Linked DNA regions of Solanum lycopersicum. The protein of the gene in region 2 interacts with the protein of the main gene of each other region in a pairwise test. Links are inferred from orthologs where the notes say so. Each region holds a gene or a part of one and is shown on either strand. Other genes may lie near its edges. The genes, in order: FER and Hop-interacting protein THI018.

Evidence for each region.
Region 1: the proteins of Hop-interacting protein THI018 (region 2) and FER interact in binary tests that used the Arabidopsis thaliana proteins (3 or more experiments, as listed by UniProt). The link is inferred for Solanum lycopersicum from reciprocal best matches to the Arabidopsis thaliana genes bHLH071 and FRU.

Annotation. Positions count from the first base shown.
Region 1 is NC_090805.1:37,597,348-37,605,863, forward strand, and holds FER (bHLH transcriptional regulator), read right to left. Parts: upstream 3,994-8,516; 5' UTR 3,980-3,993; coding exon 3,521-3,979; intron 3,158-3,520; coding exon 2,984-3,157; intron 2,906-2,983; coding exon 2,732-2,905; intron 2,438-2,731; coding exon 2,330-2,437; 3' UTR 2,211-2,329; downstream 1-2,210. UniProt on the Arabidopsis thaliana protein: Transcription factor. Essential protein involved in iron uptake responses. Regulates FRO2 at the level of mRNA accumulation and IRT1 at the level of protein accumulation. Confers enhanced iron mobilization responses at low iron supply.
Region 2 is NC_090807.1:62,878,914-62,887,849, forward strand, and holds Hop-interacting protein THI018, read left to right. Parts: upstream 1-3,458; coding exon 3,459-3,905; intron 3,906-4,712; coding exon 4,713-5,156; intron 5,157-6,020; coding exon 6,021-6,116; downstream 6,117-8,936. UniProt on the Arabidopsis thaliana protein: Transcription factor. May be involved in the differentiation of stomatal guard cells.

The DNA.
Region 1 (8,516 bases), on a different chromosome or scaffold from region 2:
CATAAGGTTATTGGTGAAAGTGGGGCTTCTAATTCAAATGCAATAGATCAAAGTCAAACTATTGAGTCTAAAGTAAGGAAAGGAAGAAAAAAAGATCTCGTGTGTGGAATCATTTTACTTATAAAACTAATTCTAAAGGAAGTGAAAAGGTTGTTTGTAACTATTGTAAGAAAGAGTATTTTGCTTACACAAAAGAACATGGTACGACGTCAATGCTTACTCATATAAACAAATGCACAAAGATGTCTTATAATATTGATATTAAACAATCAAGATTAGCATTTCAACCAATGATAGGTGGTAACAATGGTGATGTAGTTGTTGTTCCATGGAAACTTGGCTAGGAAAAGTGTAGAAAGGTCTTGCGTCGTATGATAATTATTGATGGCCTTCCTTTCAGATTTGTTGAAAAATAAGGTTTTAAACAATTTGTGGAAGTAGCACAACCTTGTTTCCACATCCCTTCCCGTACCACTGTGACTTGTGACTGTTTTGATCATCTTGATGAAGAAAAATGTAAGTTGATGGATGTTTTTACGGAAACACAACAAAGGGTGTATTTAACCACTGATAATTGGACTTTCATACAGAGAATCAATTATATGGTCATTACTGCTCATTGGATTGATAAAAATTGGACTTTGCATAAAAGAATTATCAACTTTTGTCCAATCACTAGTTATAGAGGTGAAAATCTTGGAAAGTCTATTAGTAAGTGCTTACATAAGTGGGGATTGCATCGAATTTTCACTATTATAGTTGATAGTGTTGATTCAAATAGTGTCACAATAACTGAGTTTTCTAAGAAATTAACTAAATAGGAGACCAACTTAATGGGTAGTAGTCACCTTCATATAAGGTGTATGACTCATTGTAAATCTTATTGTTCAAGATGGTACAAAAGAAGCAAATGTGCCTATTGAACGAGTTAGGCAATCAGTGAGTTACATCAGACAATCTCCTGCTAGGTGGAAAAAGTTTCAAGAATGTTGTGAAGATGAAAATCTTGCTAAAAAGTCTTTATGATTAGATGTTCCTACAAGGTGGAATTCCACCTACATGATGTTGAGCAGGGTTATTGAATATGAAGGGGAAATTGTAGAGTACGTCGATCGTGATATTAGCTTGACACTATATATTAAGTTTGTTGATAAAAATTCTACAGGTACACTTTTGAGTAGTGACTGGGAAGGCGTAAAGAGAATTACACAATTTCTTAAAATGTTTTTTAATCTTACTTTGAAGATATATGGATCACGATATGTTGCATCAAATATTCATTTTCTTGAAATTTGTCAAGTTGGTGTTTACTTGAATCAATTGATATCAAATAAAGATCAAGTTTTCGTTAAAATGGCAGAAAATATGAAAGAGAAATTTGACAAATATTGGGATGATACTGAAAAAATGAATAAGATGATTTTCATACCATGTGTTTTGGATCCTCGTCACAAGTTTAGTACTCTTGGCTTTGCATTTAAGAAGATGTTTGGATAAAAAGGGGTTGCTTTAGAAAATGGTGTGCGAACGTACATGGAAGCTTTGTTTAATGAGTATACAAAGCTCATTTCAAATGATAAAAGTGGCCAATTTTCTTCAACTGAGGTGGTACTTCTATTTCAAGTTCTATAGGAGAATTTAAAATATTTTTGGAGGAATTACATAAACATAAATCTGAAAAGGGAGGAGCAAGTTCAAGTCAGAATTAGTTAAATATCTTGATGAAAAAACTGAAATTGGAAACTCTGATTTTGATGTATTGATTTGGTGGAAAGTTAACTCAGCTAGATTTCCATTTCTTTCTGAGATGGCTCGAGATGTCGACCATGGACTGACGAGGAGAATGCTCCCTTTGGCGAGCTAGACACGGAAGAGTCACTAGAGATGAGACTATTTTGGCCACATTCCTTACTTGTTGGCTTTGCAAATTCATGCTTCCAAATACAACAAAGTCGAGCATGCACGTTGAGGCATGGATTCTCGATCAAACTCAATATTATTGAAGAATGAATTTGATCGAACCCAATAATTATCTAAACATTATACTCATTTAATATGTAATTAAAATTATTAATTTAAACATTTATAACTTAACAACTTCAAATTAATTCTAGGTTAGTGGGGAGGATTTGATCTTAATTTCCTCATTATCTATTTGTAAATCAATTGTTGTTTTGAAGATAAGGAAGAATAAAGTCATGATGATAAAATCAAAACAAGTGTTCCTTCATTAAGTAAAAGTCCCGTTTAGTTTGGATAATGAGTACTAAATGATAATACAAATTAAATATAGTTCAGTATTTTAGAAAGTTACAATAATAACATGATATTAGACCAACGGAGATGTCTCGAAGTCAAACCCTTGATTAAGAAAAGCACTAGCTATCCATAGCTTCAAATTGCCAAAGTTTATGTCCACCTCATGACATTCTCTCACCTGCATATCCATTTCCACACAAAAAAACAACAACAAAAAGGATCACTATACATAGATTTCCAATAAACAAAAATAGGTGCAAATGAATTGATAATTACTTTCTTCATTCAATTTATTTATCTTATTTTGACTTTGACATATTGAATTTAAGAAAATAAAGAAACATTTTTGAATATTGTAGTTTAGACTAAAATGTATCAAAATATATACTTTTTTAATTTTGAGATGTTAAATATATGAGGTGGAAAGTTGAAACTAAATAATTGCAAGAATAATGTAAGTTTGGTAACCTACATAAAGAGTGAAGGTGAAAATGTAATCATTGGTAGAAGTAGCCAAGTTGGAAGTTTGAACATTGAATCCATTGAGAGACTCAAGAGCTTTGAAAAGAGAAGCTGCAATGTGTCGCCCTTTGTTGCAAATTAATCTCACGTAAAATCCTTTTTCTTCTACTTGATTAATGTCCATCTGCAATATATACCATTTATTTATGTTTTATTTGGTAAAATAAGTAATTAACAAGTTTTTAGTAAAAACTAAACAAACCTTTGTTATCCTCTTGATTGCTGGATAATAGGTTGTGAAATTCATTTTCTTTGCATTTTGAAATATTCCACTTGATGACTCAAACTCTGCTATTTCAACTTTAAGTTTCTTTGCTTTGGTTTGTAGTCCTTGTACGTATAATATTGCATCTCCAATGATGGAGGCTTTATCCATCTGCCAATCAAACAAAAAATCATCATGAAATTGATTGAGGGTGAAGGGTCTTATCAATATTTGAAACTACATACATACATATACAGGGGCGGACCCAGTAAGCCAGACGCGGGTACTCGAGCATCCATTGATTTTCGAAAATTTTTAATATATATATATAAAATATGATATATATGTTATTATAATTTAAATGAGCACTCATATAACAAAAGTAGCTGTAGGTGAGTTGGTTTAAACCTCTGCAATAAGAGGCGCGCGAAGCCACTGGCAAGCGTTCAATCTCGCCAGTAGCATTTCTTTTTTTTAAAATTTTTTTTAAGCACCCACAACCTTTCAATCCTGAATCCGCATGTACATACATACCTTTGTGATATTAGGAACTAAGGATCGCAAAGCGTAAAGCTTTTCCTTCATTCTTCCTCTCCTTTTGCGCTCCGAAATCAAAGTTCTGGACCGGTCAGTCCTCGTGCCTTTGCTTGTTGGAGTCATTTTGGTGGTAGCCGTTGTGCCAGAAGATTCATCATCGTCTTCATCATCATTATTATCCAGCTTGATTTCGCAGTTATATAGCGAAATAGGATCTGGCAATGTTGTATCATAGAAATCCATCGACGATAATATTGGCTCAAATTGGGCATTGGCTGCGGAAAAACAACCTGTCATATGTTCACAATCATAGTTTGGGCAAAAATTTACAATAGGATCAGCAGTTTCACCCCTAATAAGCTCAATGAATTGTTCAAAATTATCCTCATCCAAGAAATTAATAAGCCCAATATCATTAACATTATTATTTTCCATTGATGCATTACCACTCTCCATTTTTTTTTTATTTTGGAGAAATAGTGAGAGGGGTCTACTGGGGATTTATAGATGTTTGATTAATATTAATTACTATAACAAAGGGAATCGAATATAGTGACTTGGAGTTGTTAAAACTAATATTAAAACCCTAAGGGTTGTTGACAAATTTTAATTTAATCTAATTTTAATTTTATTTAGGCATCAAATGAACCTTCACCAGATTCCACCACGTACTACTTTTTGTTTTAAGTATTGATGAAGTAAGAGAGGATGTCATGATCTAATTTTACTAATCTAACTAAATATTCTTTTTATTTATTTTGTGCCTCAATATATATATATATATTAGTATCACGACTAAGACATCATTTAATATGCTCACTACTCACTCTGGGGTCGGAGCTACCCTGTCCTATGGCTATTGGACACTTTTTATTGAAAAATTACTTAGATAAATATATTTTAATAAATAATTATTAATTTTAGTGATATTTTTATTTATGACCATTTATCGTAATATCATAATAAATCTGTAATATGTATTAAAATGAATTATGTATGTAATATATCATGCTTGATTAATAAGAAATTTACACATTATATTAAAATGTGATAAATGCATTATTCATCAATAGAAGTTGTATTATATGTGTTTTTATAAATTGTTCTCTATCATATGTATTAAAACTGTAATATAAATGTATTAAAAGTGATCAAATGTTGTTGCTATAAATAATAAGTATTTTCTTAATATAGTATATTTATATAAGTTTCCCAAAATTATACTGTGTACAAAGGATGACAATTTCAATACATATAAGTGAAATAAATCTATTTTTCCCATATTAATTAAATGAAATGGCCATCACTCATATTTTTTTAAACGGAGAATTTTCACATATAGTCACTCAAAAGTAACTTAATTATGCTTCATATCTATAGTTTGTTAATTCTCATTCATAGCTACATGTCAGAGAGAGGAGTGATTGGGAGAGGAAGAAGAGAGGCGAGTGAGAGAACGTAGAGATTGGAGAGAGGCGAAATGTATATGTATATATGTTAAATCGTGTACGTATAGCTATCAAATAATGATATATATGTAACTGGTATATATATTTATTTGTATATGATATAGCGGCCAAGAATGTCAAAGGGAGGAGAGAGACAAGCAGAGAGGGGAGGGAGTGGGGAGAGGGGATTGTGTGTGTGCGCGAGAGAGAGATCGATAGAGAGAGAGAGGAGAGCAAGTGTGTGTGTCTGGCGAACGAGATTGGAAGAGAGAAGAGAGGAGAGCAATAGTGTGTATAAAAGAGGACCTGCTACGTAATTACATCTAAAATTAAGTTATGAGCCGTAATTGATTCAAACTATAGCTATATTAGCTAAGCAACCAATATATATTAATTTTTCTATGTAATTTTCTATTCTTAAATGGATAATATAAACTTTAACCTGTTTAAGTTCATACAAATATTATGAACAAAATGGGTAAAATGAGAATATCCATATACTCATATAACACACTAACTTATGATAAAAATCTCTAGTTGCCCTATTTGTTTTTGAGAACAAAAATAAAATATTGGGTTGGGGTGGGGGGGATAGGGGGGAGGGGGGAGCTGTGGGCGGAGGCAATTTATTTCTTTTTGGAAATTTTTTTGGTAGGAGGTGTCCTGAGATGGGGGTGGGGGTAGAGTTGGCAAATTTTTTCATAGAAAAAAGTTCTATTTTTTTTTTTTTGCAATCCAATGCATTTTAATTCAATTTATATTTCGTTTATTCAAATTCAATCTAATTTAATTCACTTATTTGTTATCCCTAGTTCGAAAGAACAGATAACACTTAAGAAATGACTTAAGTTGTAACTTTTACCTTTTACTATTCCCATTTTCAAGAAAATTAATAGTCGTAGCATTATTTAATTTACTTTTTACTTTCTACTATACTTTCTTGTTTAACAATATAAGTACCCCGTTATCTAATTTAATGCTGAAACCACTGCAAAAACCCATGACACAAGCTAAGCCCATGGATGGAATTTTCTATATGAGAATCTTTTATCCAATTAAATATAAAAGCTCGTGCTTGCGTTGTGCAACGAGTTGTGTCACACAAGCACACCGTCTGCCGCCACTAACAATCATATATTAACTTGATTTACTTAATTTAATAGAGTATGAGTATGATCTCAAAAATTAATGACTTTGGATAGAGGTGGGCGTTTCGGATTGGGATTCTCAAATTTTAAATTCGGTGTTGATAGTTAAATGTAGATATCAATTTTTTAAATTTCGTCTTGGTAATTTTGATGATTGATAAATTAAATTTTAATTTGATACAGTATTAAGTAATACCGTATTTAAGTTCTACCCAATGGTATTACAAAGTTAATTCTCTTTCTCCAATTATTTCTATTTTTTTATGTGGATGCACAATATAATGGAATATCAACAACTAAGAAGACATTAAGAAAAAAAAATCTATACAACAAAAACATATGTGTTTGAGTTGTTTATATTTGGAGAAAATACATTGAGTGTCATATGAACTTGTCCCGTATTTTCAAAAAAAAAAATCTTAACTATGTGAGCGTCCTATTACCCAGTAAATAATATTAAACTGATATTATTATATCATTTTTTTTGTTTACCTTACATAGAGAGTGTGTACACTCTCTCAAAGAGAGTGAACAACCTAAATAACTAATATAATCTTATTTTGAGATAAGTATCAAAAACACACATAAATTATCCCTTCTTTTTATTTCATACCTAAATTATCGATAGTGTACGTTTCATGGGTAAAGATTCGGTCAAGTATAATTAGGTTAAGTGATGTTCAATGGTCTTACATATTCATGCCATGTGTACTATATAATAATTTATAGTTGAGATCAACTTAAATTATATGCTCATTAATAATAATTATAAAACAACAAAGCTGTCAAATTTTTTATTTTTTAAAACTATCAAATAAAGCAATTATGTGTATCCAAACTAATATTTTCACAAAAAAAAATTAAGATTGATGGGAAAACGCAATCTTTCTGACTCTTTACCCGACAAACTTGTTCAGGAGTAATTTCACACATGCCATCTCCAAATTCTGAAGAAATCTCCAAGAATAGATCAAACTTAAAAACATAATTGAGTTCTAAATAATAATTCAACATAAGAACATGATAATACATTTTTTTTATAAAAAAAATACTTAATTGGAGGTTTTCAAGTAATTATAAAAATACATTTATTCAGAATTTTCAAAAGCGTCAGATTCTTTAAAATTAGTATAATACAAAAAAATTCAATACAAGTATGAGATTTGGCAGGTTAAAAAGTCGGAAAGTACTCATATTTTTGTAGTCTTATTTTTTCTTGAAAATGTTAGCTATGATACACTTGATTGTTTTATTTGATAGTATTAAGAAATAAAAAAAATTGACACTTTCGTTGTTTTTATTATTAAGATGAATATATAATTTAAATCAATCTCAACCATAAATTATTTTATAGTATACATGGCATGAATTTATAAGGTCATTGAACATTACTTGACCTAATTATATTTGACCGGATCTTTATTCGAGTTTCATACCTAAACTATCGTCTTTTAGTTTGAGAAACACATTTCATTGGTGTGTGTATAATACACTCTTTTTTATTTGAAAAAACCTTTGACACGTAACATTTCACTGAATAAAATATTCCACCTTGACAAAAATTAAATAACAATTTACTAATATTCCACCTTGACACACTTATACTATACTAAGGTTCTATTACCTCTGAACTTATTTTTTAAATAATTTTCTGCCCCTTTTCTGTCTACGTGGCACTATCTTGTGGGCCCAATGATGATTGACTTTTTTTTTTTAACTAGTGCCACGTAGGCTGAAAATGGTAGAAAACTATTTATAAAATAAGTTCAGGGGTTAATAGGACCTTAGTATAGTATAAGTGTGTTTCTGTGATTTTGGACATAGGTTGAGGGGCTACTTGGACATTATCCCTCCACTTTAAGCACACTACTTTGGAGTGTAGGAATCATTTCAATCATTCATATGGTTTAAATTTACTATCGAAATCATTTGCCAATATGAATTTGGAGGAAGTATTGTGCGTGTTATGAACAATCGATCATTTTTATCATCTTCATCTCCTTACAGTGGTTCGTCACAGGTGATGGACTAGCATTTCTTTTCTTCTGAGAATGTATTATATGTTCCTTCATTTTAGAAGATTTTAATGTTTGTCCATGCTTGTGAATCGACAATAATTATTTCATTCAATTCACTTAATCTTATTATTTATTTATTTTTGTTAGGACAAGAAGACCAAGCATTTCTTGCTCCATTGTAATAATAATTAATAAGCCCAATATCATTAACATTATTTTCCATTGATGCATTACCACTTTCCATTTTAATTAAGATTTATGGATAAATAGTGAGAGAGGTCTAGTGGGGGATTTATAGATGTTTTCTTTTATTACATATATTAATTACTATGCGAAGGTAAATGAATATAGTTACTTGGAGTTGTTAAAACTCATATTA
Region 2 (8,936 bases):
TTTTTAAACCCCCCCCCCCCACCCCAAAGGTTTGTGGTTGATCCTTACTTTTCACGTAGGTTAAGTTGGAAGATGTGAATGACATTTCCCACTGAAACCATCACAAAAGATATATGTTAAAGGGAGAATCTAACATTTTTAAATATTGAAAAATAATATTTTTTTGAAAATCAATTTATATAAGTTAGTTTGATCGATTCGTACGAAGTTTAAGATAGAAAGAAAGACTTTAAAAATTTATGATTTAAAATAAGTATAGATGACATTTTAAAAATTTAAATTGTTGCTAAATATAGAAAAGTTTTGTAATTCTTTTTGAAACTAACTAAGAAGAAAAATGAGTCATATAAATTGAGACAGATGAAGTAATATGTTTCATAAGTGTAAAAATAGGTATAAAGTGCAAAATTATCTTATAATTTTTCCAAATTGAATAGATAAAAATTGACATTTTTTGGTCCTAATTACAAACAACAAGAATCACATCTACTAAGAAATTAACAAATGCACTACATGATTAAAATCAATAAACTGTCTGAATTGAACATTATTACAAAAAAAAAGAGCATATGGATATAATTAAAAAATATATATTAATTTTTATCTTAAACTTTTAAGAAATCATTTATTTTTGAGTTATGCTAAATGTAAAACTAGGAAGACATTCATTTGATAGAATAGACAAGTATATATAGACGTGAAAAATACATTTTGCAAGATTAAAGACATGATAGCCACAAGAAAAAAGGTATAGAAAGGCCAAAAAAAAAAATATACATGTATTATTATCTAGGGAATTGAGTTCTATAGTGGGTAGAAAAAAAAATTCCCAATTTTCAAAGGGAAAATGAAAAAAAAAAAAGAAGAAGATATAAAGTAAGAGCGTGAAGGGTAGCTTTTGCACAGCTTGTTATATTGTTTTTATGCATATCTCAATCTATATCTTGGGTCCCCCTACACTTGGGACCCCCACCCCCCCTCTGGCAGTATGTTTTGACATTTTTGTATAAATAAATTGAGAACCAAAGCATTACAACCATTATATGACTTAACATTATGTGTGTGTAAATTAAAATGTAGACATTTTTTTTTGTTTGTGTGTGAGAAGGAGAAGCAATAATTAACAAGAAAAGATAGGGAAAACGAAAGATCTGGTCTGCTTGGGTTAAAATTCTTATAGTCGTAGAGATTCTATTAGTAAAATTTGAGTCGGTAAGATTTGTAGGGCATTTGGCCAATAATCTTGTGGGAGCATTTAGATGTGTCATGATGTGTGGATCATAGTAAATATTTCGTGACGGTGGTTAACAGTATATAGTGGTGACTGTCTGACTGATAATGATGATTGTAGATAATAATCAATAATTATTGTTGTAATGATAATTGGTGGTGATGATTTTTGGATAATGGCTAATAATAATGACAGTTGATTAGTGTAGCAACAGTATGAACGAGAATGATGATAGAGAAAAATGATAGGCGGCAGTGATGTTGGTTTTTAATGGTGGGTGATGATTGTAGCGTGAATAGATGGATTTGGTGAATTTTTATTTTTGTTAAAAATTTTGAGTTAAGTATTTTAATGATAAATTTATTGCAATTTTTTTTTAATTTTTGAGACTATTAAGATGTTGTATTTTGTAGCATAAACAAAATACAAACAGACTTAATGACTCTGATATAAATAAGAGAATTATGTTTAAAATTTTATTAAATAAAGTTATAACTGATATTAAAGTTAAAAATATTAATTAAAAAGAACTTTTCAATCTTAATGTTATTAAACTAAATGTGTTTGCGTTATAAGTTTATATTATGTTAAAAATATTATATAAGCTACATGATTTTAAAACCTGTTATATAACATCCCAAGAGTAACATAGGTTTAAACTTATTAAAAAGGAAAATGTAAAAACTAATGGACAAAATATTATCCAAATTTCAACTTGAAAAGTATTCTATTTTCCTTACATTTACAACAAATATTATCCAAATGCCTACTTTCATTATTTATTAATATATGTGTTACTCATGACATTGTTCTGCGGTACAAAGATACTACTAAGATTCAGGGGAAAAGATTAAATATTAGAATATTTACCAAGGAACAACATAATATAAAACTTTTTTTCTAAATTAAAAGATGCACGTTTGCATTCCTTCCGTTTAATTATGTACTAAAAATCTCGGATCCGTATAATTTTGATAATTATTTTTAAAAAAATGGTCCCTTATAACCTTTTTTTAAAATAAATAATTGAAATGAACGATAAAATGCATGAGAGTGAAGCATATCAAACGAGTCATTCTATATGAAAAAGTGAGTGGAAAAAAATAGAAAAAAAAAACATAATATATCGCTAGTAAATTTTATGAAGACTTAAATTACGCTTCTGTTTCAATAGCAACATTCAAATATATAATCATATTAAATACTTTTGCCTTCAATTTGGGAAAAGCTAATGATTGTGTTTTCAAGCGTCCATTACGTGAATATGTTAATTATTTATAATGTTTATATTATTAATCTTAATAAGTTGTAAAACCTCAAACACCTTCTAATTGAAATTGATGTATAAAATTTAAAAAGATGCTATAATTAATATTATTAATACAAATTAACAAATAATATCATAATACATCAATAATAGCGTATGATTGCGCTTAATGACTTGGCAAATATTTGAGATATTTCATTAGTTACCATGTATTGCCTATTGAAGAGAAGTTTAAATTGTATTAACTAATAACATTACTTTTTTTATATATATATAAAAGGCATTTATTATTTAATCGACAATTTTTCTTAATTTAAGGTATCCTTCAAAGTTTCTTTTTAAATTGGACTAAAAGTTCAAGATCGCATTTTACAACTTATAAAGGTTATCGATATGCTATTTTAGCAAATCACCCATTATAATTTTTTGTTAGTAGCTGCAATTTACTAGTCCAGATAATTTGAATTCACGCTAACTACGTCCACTAAAGACATAATTTATTTTATCAAAAAGTTTTTTTGTTCTTTTATTCTGAAATTTGAAAACTGACTATGATTATAAATTTTTATTCGTAGCGAAAATTTACTAATTTAAATAATTTGAATTCACGCTAACTAGGCCCACCTAAAGACATAATTTATTTTATCAAAAAGTTCGTTATTCTCTTATTCTAAAATTCGAAAGCTTTGATTAAGGACGACGACCCATCAATTACTAGCTATAATATGTCTTTGTCTTACCCATACTACTTCAGGAACTCAGTGGTTATCACTATAAAATACTAATTGAAGTCTTATAACACTCCATACAAATAGATAATAGAGTTAGTAAAACAAGTCAAATGTTCATTGGGGTTCTCAAAACAAAACAACACACACATACAAAGCCCTCTTACAAAGCAAAATCCAAGACCCTCCTACTTATCTAAAAAATCACAAACAAAAAAAAAAGTTATTCCAAATGGCTTTAGAAGCACTTTCTACCAATGAACTCCTCAACTTCATTATCTACGATACAATCTCTACCACCACCACCACCACCAATAGCAACAACAATCTTGATGAAAATGCCTTATTTTTTGACAATCATGAAGAAAATAATGCCTTTCTATTAAAGCCTCAAGATTTTTGTACTACTACTCCCTTAGAGCAACAATATTCCATCGCCGCCTCAGTGCCGCGACCAGAGTCTTCTAGAGAGAAGAATAATTTGTCGGTCGCGGCACAATCAGGAGGCGGCGGTGGAGGGAGAAAGAAAAGGAGAAGAAGACCTAAAATTTGTAAGAATAAAGAGGAAGCTGAAAATCAAAGAATGACTCACATTGCTGTTGAGAGAAATAGGAGGAAACAAATGAATGAACATCTTTCTGTTTTACGTTCTCTCATGCCTGAATCTTATGTTCAAAGGGTATGTATGTACACTAATTAATTTAATTACTCTTTTTTGTTAGTTTTAATTTACGTAAAAAAATTCAACATTTATATACTATATACTATAAGGTACTAATTCTTTTTTTTTTCTCTATAATTTATGCATGATGGTAAGTGCTTTTAGTAACGGCGAAGTTAGAAATTTAACATATTAGTAAGTTAAAACTTTTGAATTTTCATCATTAATATGAAAGTTTAGATAGTTAATCGATTAAGCCTATGTATACAGTTTTGAATTCTGCAAATTAGTAGGATAAAGTTTTTTTTTATTTTTGCCCTATTATTCATTTATTCTCGAATTATGAGCCCTAGTGCATACGAACAACTTTCAGACTTGGTCCCTCTACTAAAATTTACATAAATAAGTTCATAAAAAAAATTTGTTTTTTCTATATTTTTTCTTTGTGGGGTTTGATGTTTTTTTTTCTTTTAAGTGTTATATGTAGCTTTTATTTCCATTTAGGTACAAACAGGAAAAAGTATTGTCAAGGATTCGAGGAAAAAGAGGTTGAAAATAATTGAATAACAGAAAATAACGCTTTGCATTCAATTTTTCTAAATGACCCTACGTACATTTGTCAATTAATAACTTGAAAATCAATCATTTTGTGAATTTATTGTATGTAGTAGTAGTAGTACTGTGTAAGTTGGCATTTGATAAAGAATATTCATTGTAAGAATGTCTTATAGAACATTAAATAAGTTTTTCTTCTTGATAAAGACAATTGAGAACTGAGACGTAATTATCATTATTATTATTATTATTATGTTGTCGTTCATTCAGGGTGACCAAGCTTCAATCGTTGGTGGTGCAATTGAATTCGTAAAGGAATTAGAACACATTCTACAATCTCTTGAAGCACAAAAATTCGTATTATTACAACAACAACAAGAAGGCGGTACTAGTAATGATAATGATGATTGTGACGGTGGAAAGAGAGAAGTTTCGAAGGCGGATTATGTTGGGACCCCATTTGCTCAATTTTTCTCGTATCCACAATATACATGTTGTGAATTACCAAATAAATATACATCAAAGAGCAAGGCAGCTATAGCTGATATTGAAGTAACTTTAATTGAAACACATGCAAATGTTAGAATATTATCAAGAAGAAGATTTCGTCAGCTATCAAAATTGGTCGCTGCGTTTCAGTCATTGTACATTTCTGTCCTTCACCTCAATGTCACCACTTTAGATCCATTGGTTCTTTATTCAATAAGTGTTAAGGTACGATTTTCATTTCATTTTTTTTTTCTGAAAATTATTATTTTTATAATTAATTTTTTTTATTCGAAAGAAAATGACTAGAGATTGCAAGAATCTATATAGCACAGGTACTTTTCATTACATGAAAATATGAGCTACAAAAAAAAAAAAAGTTGTTGAGGGTATTTTGGGAATTTAAAAAGGTCTACTACTTTTTACTAATTTCAGAAGGCAATGATGGGTCAGAAAGGGTGTTTCTTTACAATTCTTGTATGGCGTTTCTTAGTAAAGTCATACTTGTCTTTTTGTACTTATGATTACGAATTATTTCAAAAAAAAATGATTTTTTTAATTTTTTTTTTAGTGGTTATGTCAAATTGTTCAATTGATACATTTTCTTATGTTGTTGTACCAAACAAATAAAATAAGTTTGATATGAATGGTGATAAAATTCGAATACTTAATCTTTCCTTTTTTCTGATATCATGTTAGATTATGTTATAACTAAGGAAAATAAAATTCAAAACATAGAATTTTTTGCTTTTTCTAATATCACGTTAGAATTGTGTACTAATAGATAGAAGATAAAACTCTGAATATGGTCATATTTTTTTCTTAAATTCTGAACATAAGAGATTTGCTTCTTTTTATGTCAATGTTAGATTGTGTTCGACAATGAATAACAATAAAACTCAGATATAAGATCTTTGAAATTAAATTAGAAATTCAAACATATTATTTTTTCTTTTTTCTAATATCATGTTAGAATTATGTGATATCGTATGACAATAAAAGTTAAACACATAATGTTTGCTTTCTCTGATATCATGTTAAATCGTGTTTGACGAAGTCTTTTATTATTTTTTTGTCCAAAAAAAATGGCAGGTGGAAGAAGGTTGCCAACTAAATTCAGCAGATGACATAGCAGGTGCAGTCCACCACATGCTAAGAATAATTGAGGAGGAAGCAGCTACACTTTAATTTCTTGCTAAGCCTAGGGAACACATCCCCCCCTGTTATCTTTATTTATCATGTTTTTTTTTTTTAATTCTTCTTAGTTTAAATCCAGTAGACAAAACAAAAAAAAAAGAAAAAAAAAGGACTTTGTTCAATGTTCATATTAATTAGTACCAGTAGAGTTCTTTCTTGTCGTCCTTGTACGTACGTACAACATGAGCTGTGATATTTTTTGTTTATAAATGTGTGACATTTGAGTACAATTAATTATTACAGTTTTTAGTACTACTCTTTTCTATAGTTACTCACATATAATTGTCGGGTTTTTTATAACACTAAATAGTGTAATACAGTACGTTTGATATATAACATATTAAATTATACTAATAATAATCATAATGATATCTTTTGTATGACAATATTTAGGTATATAAGTTAAATTCATAAATAATATGAAAAAATTAGACAGGATGACTATGTAATGAGAAATAGTTGAATATTTTTCAAGGCGAAAATCATAATTGAGGAAAAATACCTTAAGTTAAAATATGGATCAACGATCCACCATAACAAATTGAAGTTTTGACAAGTGAACTTCTAACATAATGTGCTAGAGCTCAAAAAAAAATTATCGAGTTATAAATGTAATTTAAATTTAAAGATATTTCTTTCATGATGTTTGAATTTATGAAGGACTTTTCATGGAATTTAAAAAAAGATTGTGTATGTATGACATATATTGTTAAATAGGAACATGCAATAAAATAATTAGTATGAAAATATTTTTTTTTTTGAACTCCATGATTGAAGGATTTATCCCAACTAGAGTTTGAACCGTGCATATAATAGTACTTATAAACATTTCAAGTTACACTGAAATTTTTAAATGTTTTTTGATTTAATCAGAGTTATATATGATCATCTAATTGATATTTTTCATATTGAAAAGTGATTAAACTGTAATTAATTTAGTACTAATGTTTTTTTTTTTAATAGAGGGAACCAAATTAATAAATATCCATTGTTTTTTAATAATGACTTTTGTCGTTGATGATTAAGACATATCCACCTTATTACTTCATGCATGGTCTATGGATTCCCTTCAATTTAGGGCAAGTCTAAATTTGTCATTTAACGAAGGTACATTTTTATTCTATTCTTCAGAAATTCGACCCTCTCTCAATTTACACCATTCAATCTTAATCTAAACTTTGCTCCACATGTAAATATTTGTCAACTATATTATATGCTCTCTCTTATTTATTTATTTTTGGAGATCATTTTTGTTTATGAGCAAATTATTGTGTAATAAAGTACTACATGATGTTTAGATTCATCTTCGGTGGAGTGGAGTCAGAATATTAAATTTATGAATACAAATTTTTGTTAGTTTAAGGACAAATATAAAAGTTTTATTAAATTATCGAGTTTAATTGAATGTAACTCCTTTTCTATGTCGCTCTACGACCTACGTTACTTACAAGATTCGTATAAAAAAATTGTATAAAATGACATTTCAAACCATGTATTAAACTCAAGCACATGTAGACGAGAGGGGATTTTGCTCAAATTGGTAAACACAAACTTCATATTGAATTGAATATGAATTCGAGTCATCAAATAAGAAAAAAGTATGAAGTTTTATGGAGAAGTAAAAAAACACATTTAGCTAGCACACTACAAAGGAAATGAGTTCATGCATATATATATATAAAATTTCACTTTTAACTGACGACTAGAGATGAATTTCAAATTTTAAATTTATTGTTTCTATATGATAAATTAAAACTTTGTTTAACTTATTAGGTTTGAATTGCGTTTTTTCGTAATAAGTAATTTTTTTAACATAATTATCAAGTTTGGGAGAAAGTTGCTAAGTTCAACCTAACCATAAATATATCTACATTTTAAGTTACCAAATTGTCTAAAAGTTCTTTTACATTGTTACTACAATGAAGTTAAATTTGTTGAAGGACAATTAATAAAATTTCAAGGTTAAAAATTGTAAAAAAAAAAGGATGTATATATGTGGTCCATCTCTATAGCTACAATTAACCAGGACAAAATTCATTTAAACGTTCTGGACTTTTATCCCTGTGCTTATATCTATAATTGTGCAAAAGCAAAACATGTTAGGTTGAAAAATATAGCAGTATTTGCATATGAGGTTGCTGTAATTACCATCAATTCTAGGGAAAAAATTGAACATTTCAAGAAAATTGATGTAATGTAGGGATATTTACGTAAATAACTAGTCGGGTTCAATATTGACTTTTCTTAATCGATATACATTAATTATACGCTGACTATATTAAGGTTATGCGATTGAATGTACAATTATTCGGGTTTTAATATTTGTGATTTTTACTAATAGTAGTTTCTTTTAGCAAATTAAATAAAAATGTGCAGAATTTTTGTGGTTCAATTCAAAGCAAAATTACCATAGTAAGTTTTTTTTTAATTTTTTTTGATTGTGGGGGTCACTCTGCAACTCTCATTAAAACACATGGCTTCTAGTGCTACAATTTGATAGAGACTTTTTAAAACGTTACAAAAAAACAATAATACACCCTTCTAATAAACGTATATTATTTTTTATTTAATTGTACACAATTCAAGAACATTGTAATCATCTAATTTCCCAAAAATCCAAGAATTGGTTTTCAGATTCTGTATAATTTGTACAAAAAAAAAAGTTTTTATCATCATCAGTTTGAGAAATGGCTAAAATACATGTGGCTACACATGCAAGTGCATGGACTCGATCTTTAGCAAAATATTTAAGAATATAATGTATTTTTCTTCTTTCTTTTCCGTATAGAAACAAATTCAGTCCTTTTGTTT